2 linked regions of the Pelodiscus sinensis genome follow. The protein of the gene in region 2 interacts with the protein of the main gene of each other region in a pairwise test. Links are inferred from orthologs where the notes say so. Each region holds a gene or a part of one and is shown on either strand. Other genes may lie near its edges.

Region 1 (7,875 bases), on a different chromosome or scaffold from region 2:
GTTCAGCAAATGAATGCAATCTTTCTTACAACATATATCATGTAATATATGTCCAATGATGCATTCCAAACTAAGGATTTTTGTTTCTTTGTTTTTAATTTAAGTTAGGAAGTGAAATCTGAGTAGAAAGGGAAAAATTTAAGGTGAACTGAAAATTCACTTTTCAAAAAATTACAGAATGACAAAGTAAATACTGAATGTCTCAAAACAGTAGGAAAGAGGACTCAGGGAGTCCATATATGCTTTAATTTAAATGTATCTTTGTTTGTATCAAGTCTAAATTGTCAAAATATGCTACTGATTTCCTGTTTTGACTTGGCTGATTCTTAGAGTCCAGCAAACCTGTGAATATCTGCACCTTCTGATGAGATGGATATCTGACAACCATTTCTGTGGACTGAAGATGGATGGAGATGCAAATTTTATATCTAGAGCCCTGCAAATCTGCAGATATCAACTTTATATCTGCAGATATATGCATCTGGCTGTGGATCCCAATTTTATATCCATGTCAGGTACTATAGTGATGCTCTCTTTTGGTGACATGGCACACTAATAAAGAACCTGACTGCACACAGTCAATTGAGGTAAGTTCTTTTGGAGAAAACAGTGTTCTGTATGGAAAAAGCCTGGAGCATACTGAGACCTTGATCCTGATATGACGTAAGCATGTGCTTAACTTTGAACATAGAATTAGCTAACCAGAGTTCAGTAAAACTATTCCTTGTAGAATCAGAGTCTAAAAGATAGCATAATTAAGGTGCAAAACAGTGAAGACTTTAGAGGACAACAGGAAAGAAATTTCCTTATCAGTGGCAGGGGAGAAACTTAAAAGGTGAAAGAAAAAGAGAATGAGGATGGAGGTTTCAGTTGATCTTACTTTTTAAAAAAATTAGCAAGCTCTGATGCAGAGAGGGAGAGCTTTTAAGAAGGAGCAGAAGGTAGGAAATAAGTGGCTTGGTAGTGTGGGTTTTGGAGAGAATGAAGGTGGCACAGCAAAACTTCCTTGTAAGGAATATGGAAAAACGGAGTGAGGAGAAAATGTATTTGTAGTGAACGAAGCACATGTAGTCTCTAGTGGTATTCAGTGGTCATTATCATCATTGTCCTTTACGCATGCTGGCGTATAGGGCAGGAACAATTTTTTATTGCTGTTTCCATAACAAAAGGCTTTTTCTAGGTAAGGGTTGTTAGCCCCAAGCCAAACCCTCAATCCTGGAGGATCAGTGTGCATGCTTAGTCCGGCTCCTTCCCGCTTGACCTTGCCGGCTTGGTTGAACCTACCAGGAACACTAAGCTCCTGCCGGCATAGCTCCTGAGATCATAAGAACATGCAAGCTGCCCCGCCCCGACAATGCGTATGTACAAGGGGCAGGATATTCAGTGGTAGAGCTGGCATAAACATATATATTTTTAAAAATTAATATTTCAAATACTAGTTTGTTCTACTGGGGTTTAAAAAGGGCTAATTTTCTCTCAGAATTTTATGTGAAAATATTTTATTGATTTAAGTTTTCAAAATATAAACATGTTGTTTCAAAATCTCAGTTTTTGAAAAAAAAGTTTTAAAAACCCTCATCAATTAGTAAGAAAAATGATGAAACACTCCAAACCCCAAAAATAACAAAAAATAGGCAAGAAAGGAAAATTTTGAGATAATAAACATATTTTCATGGGTATTTGGTTTTGAAAAACGGTAATATTTTTGGAAAATTTTCAAACAAAAAATGTGTATCCAGCTCTGATCAGTGGCAGAAGAATGAGAATAAAGGAATCCAGTATTATGAGTGAGTCATGACTGTGATTTAATAGGGGACAGACTTAATAAAAGTATGTGACTGAGAACTATATTTCTCTATATATCAGCACTATATATTAAATATTAATGTACATTATCACTATTTCTGTATCAATTTATTGATATATAATCATGTAATACATCTTGATTTCTATTGTAAATGCAGTCATATTTTTACCTTGGATATAGTTCTGCAAATTCAGGGATATGGGTAATAGTTCCTAGAAACAGGCAACAGACCACATAAACAGCAAACGTAGCACATAATGAAGTTGACAGAACAAATTTTATAACCACAAAATGTCAGCTCAACCAACTCTTCCTCTGGATGATTTCCTTAGATAAATTAGATACATGAATAAAATATTCTCAGTGTGATAAAATAAATATTGATGGTTTAAATATTTTATCAGAAATTCAACAGAAATGAGCTTTACCTGCCTTTCACTGCACAACAGCGTGTATAACATGATGTTTCTCTATTATGTACCTCATCACACTGTCTACATACAATCTTCTTCCTACTATCACTATTCATTTTTCATATGTCAAGTGCTCATTAACCCTTTAACCCCAGTGGGTGAAAGCCAGTGCTATGATTTTTCCTTATGTACACCCAACACAGGGAAATCGCTGCTCCTAGCACCAAGTGGAAGAATGAATGTAAATGCTTTTGCTTTGTATTGATAATTGTGAGTACATGATACAAGTCTATCACTGGAATGTTTCCAATGGAGTGCTATTATAGTCCACTTAATATGGACTAAAGACTGATGTTTAAAATATTGTGCTATAACTCTTAATTTTGACAATGGTAAAAAATTATTTTATATAATTTAATACATTATAATATATGATAAGATTTTTGGAATGTGTTCTGTATAAAAAGAGCATTATGAAGGAAAAGCTGCCATTCACTTTTTGAAAGTTGGTGGCACTACTATTTCTGATTTGTTAGCATTGCATACTCACTTTCCACAAGAGGAATTGTCTACATGTGTTATTAGGCAGTGGAGAAATAAGCCTCATCTCTCTCTCTGTTGTACATGTCTGTGTATAGGCATATTTGTATATGCTTAACTTTGCTTATTTGTTATCTTCCTTTCCTTAACAATGAAGAAAATGGAGTTCAGAACCAGTGACAAATAGCTGGTGACAATAACTAATTCTTTTTTTGCCAAAGGAAGCCATATGGAAGTGGTTCATGTTATAACAGTTAATGACAAATTGCATGAAAAGACACATAGTTGTAGATTACAGAGCAGGATGTAGCTACAACACATCATAGTATAAGGAAGTGGAAGCTGTTTGTGGTTATTTTGGCCTCTTAGGTAAATACTGTCTAGGCAAACTTTACTTTGTATATGCTACAAGCAGTAATATTTTGTAAGTTTCTATAAACTTCCCCAAAACAACAGGGAGCCAGTCTGGTTTCTTGTGTAAATACGCTTATAAACAGGATTGTTGAAATGTAGTTATATATTTTAGCTAACAAGTCAGGTAATAATCTATTGCATCTATTACAAGATGATTTGCCCTGTATGTTTTAATGTGTTATTCACCAAACGATTGTAACAATTGCTTTAAAGATTATAGGTTGGATTTTCTGGACCAGATGAGCTGCACTTGCTGCAGAACTGATGTGGAATGAGAAAGGGTGGAAGTGTCTTATGCCATCTGTACATCCCCTTGATTCTGGGGTTAACCAGGGGTCAGTTTAGCACTCAATTTAGAGCAGCCCTAAATTGAAGGGTAGATAGCATAGAACAGTTCTACTAGCTCTGTACCACGCAAGGATTTCCCTATACCAGGGGACCCCATTTAATTGATTAAAGTCTCTAGGTCGTACAAGGATCAGGATCTTGCCCAAAACACTCTATAGTTCAAGTACATATTTAGGTACATGTTTTATTTAAAAAAAAAATAAAACCTTACAATATCTTTTTAAAGTATATCCTGTACATTTTCAGTCACAGCTTCTCAAAATTTAACAATTTGGACATAGTATTTTTATTTCACAACATATTAAAGATTATTCTTGCTTTTTAATATATTACAATATATACAACATTTGCCCAAGTTTCTAAGTGTTGGTTATTAATTTTTGCCCTGTCATTATTTTAAATAAACTTAAAAAATAACAAATGGTCTGGTAGCACTTTATAGACTAACAAAATGTTTAGAAATAATTTCTGTGTATTTATGATACATGAAGAGCCTGACCCTGCAGTGCTTACAAATACAAATTTCACATTTTAGGATGTTTTGAGACAGAATTGTAGCAATGACACTCAGATTTTCCCACAGGATGTTTTACCACATCTTTCAAGAAAACTAATTTTTTAAATTTAATTACAACCCCTTCAAAGCAGCAGCATATCTATAGGAACTGTTTTGTGTTGCCATAAACCAAAAACAGGTCAATGGTTGATGCTGATCAACAGTGTTCTGTATGTCAAAGCTCAGTAAATAGTCTCCTGTCTTTTTAATTGAAGTACCTGGCCAGTGGGTCTCTATCAGCTTTCTTTTGTCACACCCAGTGGTCAAATTGTTAGCAGGCTAGAAGGAACATTGGTCGATGCCTAGTTCATTGTGTTGTGTTTTAAACTTTGACCATCCTGGTGACTAAGAGAGAAAATCTGGCAATTTTTAGTTTAGTTCCCGTTTTGCTTGTGTCCTAGTCTCACTATTTCTTTGAATGAGACACTCTTAGCATAAAAAACATCGCTTCTGAACCTGCCATTGTTATAAGCAACACACCTCACTCGGTACATCCAACCCACTCTCCTTGCCCCTCCCCTCAGCCAGCGCCTCCTGTCACACACATTCCTCAACTACCCCTCCGCGCCACCACCGACACCCCCTAGCCTGGGTAATCTGCTCTCATTCCTAAACGCCCTCCCATCTGGTTCTCACCCTCCCCCCTCCCCGCCGGTGTACCCCAAAGGCTGAGCTGTTCTTACACTTCCCCCTCCCCCGTCTGCTTCTCCAGCCCACCTCCCTCCCCGCCTCCGCCCGGCTCCTCCGCCGCTTGGCCTCGCGCCCGCTTAGCTCCTTATCCCCCGGCAGAGCTCCTGCGCCGCCCTTCCCCCCGCGGAGGCCGGGGGAGAGCGAAGCCCAGGTAGGGCGCACCGGGGAGGGGAGCAGGCGGCTTCCCAGCGCAGACGGGCGCGTGCAGCCCGAGGCGGAGCTTGTGCACGAGCGGCAAGGGCACGCTCGGAGCCGGTCCCGGCGCAGCAGCAGCAGCAGCAGCGAGCTGCACTAGCGCGCCCGGCGGGGAGTGTTCCCAGCCCACCTCTCAGGCCGGGGAGGGGCTGGCTGCGCACCGGGGATTTCAGCGAGCGAGAGCCGCAGCTGGCCGGCCCCGCCCCCTCTTGCTCCTCCCCCGATTGATTGTATTGGGGGGCGGGCGAAGGGAAGGGGGGTGCGTTACATGCCAGCAAAGCAGTTTAGTTCCTGCTGATCCATCACACGCTCAGAAAAGGGACTTGCCCGCGCGCGGGGTTTGGTTTGTTGGGGGGGGGGAGAGGAACGGGGGCCCCTTTTGTTTGCGTGGCCTTCTCCCCTCCGCTCCGCCCTCCCCTCCGGTCCCCCCCGCTCCGAGGAGGGCAAAGAGAGTAGGAGAAAGGGCTGCCTCGCCACCCCTCCCCCCTCGAGCGGGCCCCCAGTGCAATTCGATGCGTCCCGGGTAAGGCTCCCCCGCGCTATATTGTGTCCTCTCTTGTGTCTGAAGCCTCCACCCACTGGCCCACCCTACATTTAGCACATCATGTGATCCGGGTAAGTCATTTGCAAGTACAACAGTTCTCTGTGTTGCCCCCATTCATTTCCTGAGAACTGCATAGAGCAGCTGAGGGAGACTGTGTGTGTGTGTGTGTGTGTGTGTGTGAGCGAGAGCGAGCGAGTGTGTGCGCGAGAGTGTGTGTGTGTGTGAGGGGGAGGGAGGGAGGGAGCGATCGAGAGGGAGAGGGGACTGTATAAGGGAAAGAAAACAGTTTCTCCTGCTCTGCAGCTTCTGTTCAGGTCTGTGCCTATTCCATTTCTTATCCGAATAAACACCTTTTCTTTTTTCTCTTGCTGTCCCGATCAATCAGCTTTCAGAGACCATTGCATTTTCCGGTCATTAAACCATTTTAAAACGTTAGAAGGCTGATCTCTTGAATGGGGCAAGCATTGGAGGGGTAGGAGGGGGAAGCTTTTGCAAAACAAGGCTATGGGCAAGGCTCTTGTTAAATTACCAGTCAGAAGGACGTTTTCAAACCAACCCAGTCCAAACCAAACCCAGCTTTGTCAAATAATGCATGCGAACGTGTAGTTCACACGGAGTGGGGCTGTTTGGTCACGTAAGTGACAGTGGCAAGGAAACAAGGTGTCATGTTGAATTTGGGGTTTGCTGCTCTAGTTTGTCATTCCAAAAAAAAAAAAAAAAATCGGTGTGCATGTTATTTGGAGGAGGAGGGTAATGGGTTAAGATGGGGATGACACTATTTGGCATTAATAGTGGTCATTGTGCTACAGTCATTATTGTCTCCAGTAGTAATGATGTGTAACTGTCACTTGCCACAGTGCATAGTTCATGGAAGTAGCTGGGAGATGGCCTATGGCTGTTCTTTTCAATTAAGGTGGATCTAGCTAGAGTTGACAAGGGAGAACTTTCCATTGAGACCAGTCATGAAATGAAGAGTGTTGAGCGTCATCTTGGGAGCCACCGCAGCTTGTCTGTTATAAGCTTGCTGTATCCTGACGAGTGAGTGCTGACCTCAGTGACATTAGTTTGCATTAAAGCAAGAGGCTTCTTTGCAAGAGGAATCAATTATGATTTTGTTCATTATAGAGTCTACGATCAGAACTTTCAGTGCATGTTTATATTGAGGGCAAAAAATAACTTGCCAGATCTGATTAACAGTGTATTTAAGCTGACTGTTTGGGGGGGGGGGGGGGGCAGGGGAGGGACAGGAGTACCAAATCCTTTGTGCTATATTCCTTCCATCTCTCCCCTTCTATGCTTCTCTCCTTGCACAAAAAGCTTATAGTTCTGTATTTCTTAATAGTAATAATAACTTTAATTCAACTGATAAAAGCTGACTGTGCTCAGTTAAAGTCTAAGTACAGTGGAATGTGTAATCTGGATAAATAGTCTATGTAGTTGATATTGTCAATCTTACTAATTTAACTATTCAGATGATTAAATAACTGTTCTATACAGATAATTTTAAGAAATTCTAGTGAGTAATGTTGATTTTTTATCAAACTGATTATTAAAAAAATAAGTGACTGCTCTACTAGTTACACTCCAATGCTGGGGAAACAAACACTCTAAAATTTACATTAAAAGCATGTGCATAGAGCTGCTACCGCAGACGAGTGCCAGTCAAGCAAACGTCACCCTGTAAATCCACCTAAACCATTCCATTCTCTTTTCTTACTGGAGGATAGAGTTGTTTAGCCAAGTAATGATCTGACATGAAATGTTACTGATGACAGGCAGGGTGGTGCAGGAGTTTGCAATGTGAAAAGGAGTGGTCACTTTTAAATACTGGGTGTATTCCTGTTAGAATTTTTTAAACTGTCATTTACAGAAACATAATTTTAATTCAGTCTCAAGAAGCAGTCACTTCAAATATGGGTTATGTGGTGTTATTGTCGCCAGCTATTGCCAGTTTTGTTGATATTATTTTATGCATTTAAAATGAGGAAAAAAGTGAGCTGTTTTTATGTAAGATATTGAAGATAAACAGTTTAGTTCCTTTCATTTCTTATATTAGCCTTGTAAAATTCTACATGCCTATGGCAATTTTTCTTCCTGCAGAGAAGGCAAACCATCTCTTTTTTCATGATCAGTCATGATGTTTATTTTATTTTATTTTATTTTATTTTATTTTATTTTATTTTATGCCGTGGCAGGCAGACATTCGTTGCAACTTTGCAAGGGTGCTTTATATAGTACTGGTGTATGCCCTCCATTTTCTGGTTGGTCTCCAAGTCTAAAATGTTACAGGAACAGCAAAGTAGTCTCTATTGTAGAATTAGTAATTATGCTGAATATATTGGAAATGAGGGTGACATGGGTATTTTAT
Region 2 (7,357 bases):
CTGCTTTTTTCACTCCCACTCAAAAAACAAACCCAGCACATCACCAAAAATCATATACACACCTACACCTTATAAGCTGAAAAGAACTGGTCGCTAAAAATAAAAAACACACAGAGTACAACACAACAAATGGTATTTCTTAAATGGTTTTGTGGAATGGCAATTACGGTGTTAAATTTTAATTTTGTATTGGAATACACAGGTTCAGCAAAGTAACTCTGAGCATTGATCTAAACAACCTTCCAATCTAAGGAGTTCAGTTTCATGAGTCTTCACTGAAGTCTCTTTCATTGAGATAATGCAAAGTTTCTAATCAAAGGTTTCATAACAGATACCAGGAGCTGGGAAGGGAAAGAGCAAGAAGATGTCTTGACATAGAAGAGGAAGAAAAAGCCACAATAAAACATTTAAGATGCTTATAAGGTTTGTTATTGACAAAATCCAGGATGGACTATGATGAACTACAGTTCTACTGTGTACTTTAACAAGTCTTATCTTCCACCAGTACATTAAAATGTACATATATTTTTTAAAAAGTATTATTTGTAATAGTAGTAGTGTTTTCTCCAAACTTTATCACAATAGATTAACAATTAAAAGAAATGTGTAATGTAATTCATAAGGTCTTTCCCTTAAACATCTCCTTACTGTGACTTTTACAGTAACACCATTTATCCATAATGGAAATTAAGTGTGGCCTATTCCTTTCTTTTCTCTCTCTACATATTCCACACAGCTAATCAGTAGCCTCTCTCTGACCCATTCCTTCAAGAGTCTAAATGATCATCAACTTTTCTCCAAACAATTATGCATTAATTCTTGTCCATATCACCCTATGAAATGATCTGCCTCATCCACTGAATCACTTTTGTAAAAAATGTAAGATAGCATCTTAACTTCTCAGCTGAAGCAGGAGTAGAAACATGGTCAGTCTATTAGGCTACAGTTTTCCCACAACAAAGATTGGTCAGAATATTACATTTCTGGTTTTATTTAAATGTTCTCTACATAGGCCATTTTCCATTTGATATGGTCAAATATTAGAAAACAATAAAAAAATATTTATACAAACATCATATTCATGTTTAAATATGGGAAAACCGCGTAAAGCTTTTTTCATACTATGAAGAAAAATGATTTATTAGAGAATAACTAAAAAAAATGAATAGAATGCATAGAATGGCAGGCTTTCCCATGTTGTTATTTGGTGAAGAAAAAAAAAATCTATGCAAAGTTTTTTGCTTTGATTTTGTTGGAGCAGGAAAATTCTTTATTATTATAATAAACATATACAAGATTGTTCTCAGAAGTGAATGAAATCACTTACAAAAATTGGCTGGGGATCATTCAGAACCAACAAGAAAGATCCATTTCTAAAATTATTATGACAATATACTACAACAGAATGTTTACCTCAATCCTGCCCCTCCTTAAAAGCCTCTTCAATGTTAATTCCCACTCTAGGGCTACAGGTCTTCTGCTAAAATTTTTTCTAGATTCTGTAATCCTTTTCTCTTTAATCTCCAGTCTATGAAGAGAGATGATGAGATCCACATATGCATAGCAAGTGAGGATTTAAGTAACTTTACATCTCACCATAGTTACCACATTTGATTTAAACAGGACATTGAATCATTTTGTCATTTAAGATTTTATGTGTGTATGTCTTGATATGTTCAACGAGCATGCAATTTTACAAGCAAATTGTTTTATGTGGTTAATGGGCAAACTACATTTCAATACATCAGTAGATGTGACATTAAGATTCATCATTCATCTCTGCAGGTTATTTCTGGAGGGGAATAGAGCATTTGCCAGGTTCATTGGTGGCTAAAGGTTTAAATGTGTTACTATTAATTTTGTTTAAAAGATTTTTCCCACTACTACCATTTCATGAATATTTCTAAAACAATTCCTTGACGTTTTCATTAGTCTGTCAAAACTGTTCTATTGGACTTTTTTGTTTCTCATGGTAACCAATTTTATTTGACTTAACAGAAGCTGTTCAAATATTTAAAGGCACTCCGAGATGGCAGGAGTTTATCTAGGAGCATACATGTTGTGTCACATATATTCCTTTCCTCGCTCTTATTTTTATTTTTTTCTCCAGAAATAGTAACAACCAAACAGGACACTAACTGGACATATTGTACCAGGAACCTGTTCACTTAATCTGTTTATGGTAAAATTCAAGTTATAATAGGCACGTTTAGAAATTACAAGCTCGGTCGTTAAAACAGATGCCTGTGACGTTCCTTCATATGTACTGTATCCCTCTGCCAATACTACCATCAAGCGCAAGGCAAGAACTAAAGTATAAACATCTGCAACACCTCTCTGTTTTGTTAACATTCTTTCACACATTTTACTGCTAACTCCGAAAAAGGAGGATCGACGGTATAAAAAAAACTGAAATTGGAAACATCTGTGAGATAGCTACGGAAAACGGAATGAAACATGAATAAACAAAAACATGGCGAAAGTGGCCTGGGGTTGTTACACTGTCAGATCATTTTTCCAAGCCCAACATCAAGGCTTTTGTTACAACCAAAGCGGTCATTTGCATGGAGAACCAACAGGGTTTCTTCTTCTTCAGCGTTTCCTAGATCGTAACACACACTCGCTCTCTTCCATACACACACAGGCAAATCTTCCCCGTTGCAAACAAACAATACAGCTAACCACACACATTTTCGCAACTGCGGAATCTACAGATTACAAACGACACTCCGCATACTTCATAGTTTGGTGCTGAGATGTAATTTAGCAATAAAATAACAGACAAACCTTTGGAGCGCTGCCCCAGCCGGAGTTCCTCTCTCCCTCTGCTCTGCTGTTACTGACAAGATCAGGCTGAGATTAACAAGTCCATACTACTGAACACTCTTACTCCTCAGGTTATTCCATGCACTTCGTGTGCTTTAAATAATATCAAACTTCTCAGAAAGTTTAAAAAATAGTGAATTAGAAACAGAGCACAGAAATAAGAAAGCAGAAAACACTGTACGGGCAATTATTACAGCAGCACGGAGGGCACTGCTTTATAGTTTAGGTTGTGTCAGCACTTCCATTCTAAACCCCCATTTTCGGGGGGAGGGGAGAGGAGGCTGTTATAATTCAAGCCAACAAAAATTGCTCCTAGCTAAATCAGGTGATATTATTTCTTTTTAATATTTAAAAAAATCCATTTAGTGACTATTCAAAAGTTTTAGGGGCACAAAAGTACACCCATTTTAGCAGCTTTGGAAGCTTTATTTTCACTTTTCCAATATAAATAAAACATTAAACATTCCTTTTTAAAAATAAAATTTCACAGACCTTTGCTCTACAATGAGAGTCTGGTCCTTCACTTTTTATAAAAACACATTAATAAATATTAATATCTGAAAACTGTCTGAATACACAGTAACTTTTAAATAACTGTTAAGTGAATTTATTGGCTAGTTCCAGAGATATTAAGTTGTCTATTTAAAGAATTGGGCAGCACAGACAGTGGTCCTTGCCAGTATGTGTCCAATCTAATCTGAGGCAGCTTTGTAAAATTCTCCTCCCACCACTTGTTGGAAGCAAACCATTTTTCTGACCGGTGAATGTCCTCAACATCTTGGTAAGGTGCTTGTTCTGCAATGGCTACTTTACAATGCTGCTCTAACCGGTGATAAGGCAAGCCAGTCTGTACTCTTACTCAGTCTTTGACCAGTCAACTATTGCACTGGTGATGATTCCATGGCCTGGATAACTGACCCATGGAAACTGGACCATGATAGACAACTTATTTCATATAGATGACTACATAGCCAGGACAATTTCAACTTTATACCTTTTGCTTTTAATAAACATCTTTATTAGGGCTGTTCATCATATATATGCATGACCAAAGAATAACTGTCAAGCGGTGAATTCTATTCAAATACTAGTACATTCTTTGTAAAGTGTAAACACATGGATTGACAGGTAAAAGTAAAAAACCAGGTCAGACAAAAATCAAAGTGCACATTCAGTTATCCCTCAGTTCGATGGAATGCATATAAGCTAATGCACCCCTCACCTCACTAATGCAGAAACTCAGAATATCACCATGTTATATGTCATTTTGCTATCAGTCCCTTATTTTGAAGCATTACTTTTCATTTTAAAACCCTCTTCTCATCAAAAGATGAATTACAGAAATGTATATGTAGCCAAAGCCTACCACAGTCCATTCCTTGGGGCTGTATTCTCCTATCAACATGCAGTTAGTGAATTCAAATCTATTCAAACGCGCCCTGTTAACAGTCCAAGAGGGAGTGCAGGTCGTTGTTTCTCTAAAATATTATTCCTCCCAACTTCCCAAAACCACGATTGTTTGAAATACACCAAGAAGTATTTGAGATCCAAGTAGTCTACCCTGCCTCTTCTCTGTCCCATATAAACACCCTCTCACTATCAAATGATTGTACGCAACAAGTCACTCTAGTATGGTCCATGTCAACATTATGATTTATTAACAATTCCCGCCCTAGAAGAAATTAGATCTCCCATCCTCCTATATAGATGAGATAAAGCCAAATGGATGCCCATATGAAATATAATAAAGTATATAATTACTTGTCAACAGAGTAAAAGTAAGGCTTGTTTTAGTCTAAGAAATATATAGAGTATTTAACATTTAAAATGTATACTTTCCAAAGTGATTAAATAGTTGGATGGCAGTCATTAATTTCAACAAACTGTTCATTCCCATTAATAAACGCTTTGAAAAGGATGATCAACAACATCTGGAAATACAAATTCAAAATAAAAAAAAAGTCTATGGCATCCAGCTGGAGAACAGGGAGAAAGAAAAAAGTTATGGCCATACATACTCATCTTAATGTACCCCAAATGTATACTTCCTAGCTTTTGTAAGAATTACACAATGATACTTAAGAGCTAACCATTGTACAGATTTGTTTTGCACTAATCACAACTCCCTTCAAATTAAATGAGGGACCCAAAATTTTGGAAGGGGAGTTCATCCAAAGAAAAATAATCTTTATTTTCAAGTTGTCATTAAACCAAAGACCCATTTACATATATGGATGTTTATAATCACTTTATAATAGTGATAAATCACTTTATAATCACTTTTTAAATTTCAGCATGTTACTGACCACTCTATTTTTTAACATAAGTCTAAATATTTGAGTGATTAGTTTAGTTTAAGTCCACACAGGATGAATGCCATTATTTGCATGAATTATTAGTTGCGACAATCTTAATTTGAAAATATACTAACAATGCACATATAGGCTGTATAAATATTTAACCATGCCACCTAGAAAGTAAATTAGTTGACATTCAACAATTAAAGCTGTCTTTCTGAAGTTGCAATATTTAAAGGTTAAAGATTAGACATGCTCCCTCTTGTGTTAAACTAAGAATGCATGCTGTTTTCTGTGACATGATGGTAGCTCAGCCATCTGTTTCCACTGAGCAAACCTCAAACTTTGATTGCTAATTTCTGACAAACATCCACCAATAGTTCTACAGTACAAAGGTTGGCTCACTTTGCACACATTCATAGGATTACTTTATGTTTGAGAAGTACTGTCATTTTGCATACTGTAGAAGATCACCATTAAGCATAAAATAACATACCAAAAGTATGGTGCAATAAAGATTAGTGGACATAATTAAATATATACACATGAAAATAAACTACATACAAAATATATATCAAATATTAAATAACTTTATTTCATACATGGCCTAATAATTTACAACAAAATATCCACCCTTTGCTAATTTTTCCTTTCCATTAGTGTTAGTTAGTTAGTTACAGGATTCACGTAGTCTAGCATAAAAGTTTGCTTAAAGAATCTTTACAAAATGTGTATTCATTTCATAGCTATGTGAAGATAGGAACACAACAGTGCTACGTAAATGTGCATGTGTGCACAAATTATCTACCTGAGGCTCCGATCTTTCAGCTTGACCCACTGAAAGCCTTATACCCGCCTGGAGCCTCAATAAAGTCAATCAATGTCCATTCATGCAGACTCAGTTGCCCTTAGGGCAGCGATTCTCAAATGTGGTGGCCACTAAATCCCCTATCTCTGTCCAGGAGACTAAGGCAAAGAAGCAGCCTCTCTTAGCAGTGCCCACTGGCTCCACAGGTAGTCTTCCACTTCCCCAACCCCTTTGTCCTTCCACTGATTCAGTTGCGGAGCTCTAGGGGCAGGCTCCAAACCAGGGTAGCTGTTTTCAGTAGGGTCAGAATACCAGGTCAAGGCAAAAAGTCGGGTGAGAGTCTGTGGAAAGAATCTCAGGGTAGCAGGGGTAGGATAAGTGGAACCTCAAAAACAGGGGGCTGGGGGAAGAAGCAGGGTGAGAGGTGATGGGAGGTAGCATGGACTAGAGGCACCAAAGTGCAACTATACATTATTTTCAATATTGAATATAAAAATAAACCCTACATAAATAAATCACAATGATTTGGGCTTGTGTGTGTACACATTTGGTTTTCCTAATATTAATTATGTATTTTAGGAATATTTGTCAGACAGTTGTTGTTAGAACTTATGATGCCTTATGACATCTCAATGAGAGCACAGACAAGCACTGTAAATTAGAAGTTTAACTAGCTAACACATTTTAACTAATGTGATTTTCAACAGGACTTTGCACTTAGTGGAGAGAGAATAAATAACTTAAAATCCTGTTGATTGGTTGTGGCCAATCCTAGACTCTATGGTAAATTTAATTACAACCTGTAATGGATGTTTCATCATCAGCTGCGGTGTCTAAAAGAGGTACAAAGTCCTGTTTAAAACATTTGTTATTTATTAGGTAACATTTTAAAATGTAATGTATTTTATAGTCTTTACTGAAGAATATTTGGAAAGTTTTAAAATTATGCAAACTACCCTCTTTTTCTTGTAAAATGTGTTTTTCATTAAATCCAATTCTCTAAAGGTTAACAGAAATAATGCAGCCAAACCTTAACCAGGAAGGGCAGCAAAGTCATGGATGCTTCATATACATGCACTATTAAATCTTGGACCAATATTTAAAAAGGGCTCTAGAGGCGATCCTGGCAATTACAGACCGGTAAGTCTAACTTCAGTACCGGGCAAATTAGTCGAAACAATAGTAAAGAATAAAATTGTGAAGCATATAGAAGAACATAATTTGTTGGACAAAAGTCAGCATGGTTTCTGTAAAGGGAAATCCTGTCTTACTAATCTATTAGAGTTCTTTGAAGGGGTTAACAAACATGCGGACAAAAGGGATCCAGTAGATATACTATACTTAGATTTTCAGAAAGCCTTTGACAAGGTCCCTAACCAAAGGCTCTTGTGTAAATTACATGGCCATGGGATAAGAGGGAAGGTCC

The links. The genes of interacting proteins can lie anywhere in the genome.
Region 1: the proteins of CTBP1 (region 2) and KLF12 interact in binary tests that used the Homo sapiens proteins (3 or more experiments, as listed by UniProt). The link is inferred for Pelodiscus sinensis from reciprocal best matches to the Homo sapiens genes CTBP1 and KLF12.

The regions. Positions count from the first base shown.
Region 1 is NC_134711.1:268,241,166-268,249,040, forward strand, and holds the start of KLF12 (Krueppel-like factor 12), read left to right. Parts: upstream 1-4,829; 5' UTR 4,830-4,919; intron 4,920-5,144; exon of another isoform or gene 5,145-5,578; intron 5,579-5,650; exon of another isoform or gene 5,651-5,821; intron 5,822-5,831; exon of another isoform or gene 5,832-6,545; intron 6,546-7,875. UniProt on the Homo sapiens protein: Confers strong transcriptional repression to the AP-2-alpha gene. Binds to a regulatory element (A32) in the AP-2-alpha gene promoter.
Region 2 is NC_134715.1:120,933,870-120,941,226, reverse strand, and holds the start of CTBP1 (C-terminal-binding protein 1), read right to left. Parts: upstream 3,064-7,357; 5' UTR 2,788-3,063; intron 1-2,787. UniProt on the Homo sapiens protein: Corepressor targeting diverse transcription regulators such as GLIS2 or BCL6. Has dehydrogenase activity. Involved in controlling the equilibrium between tubular and stacked structures in the Golgi complex.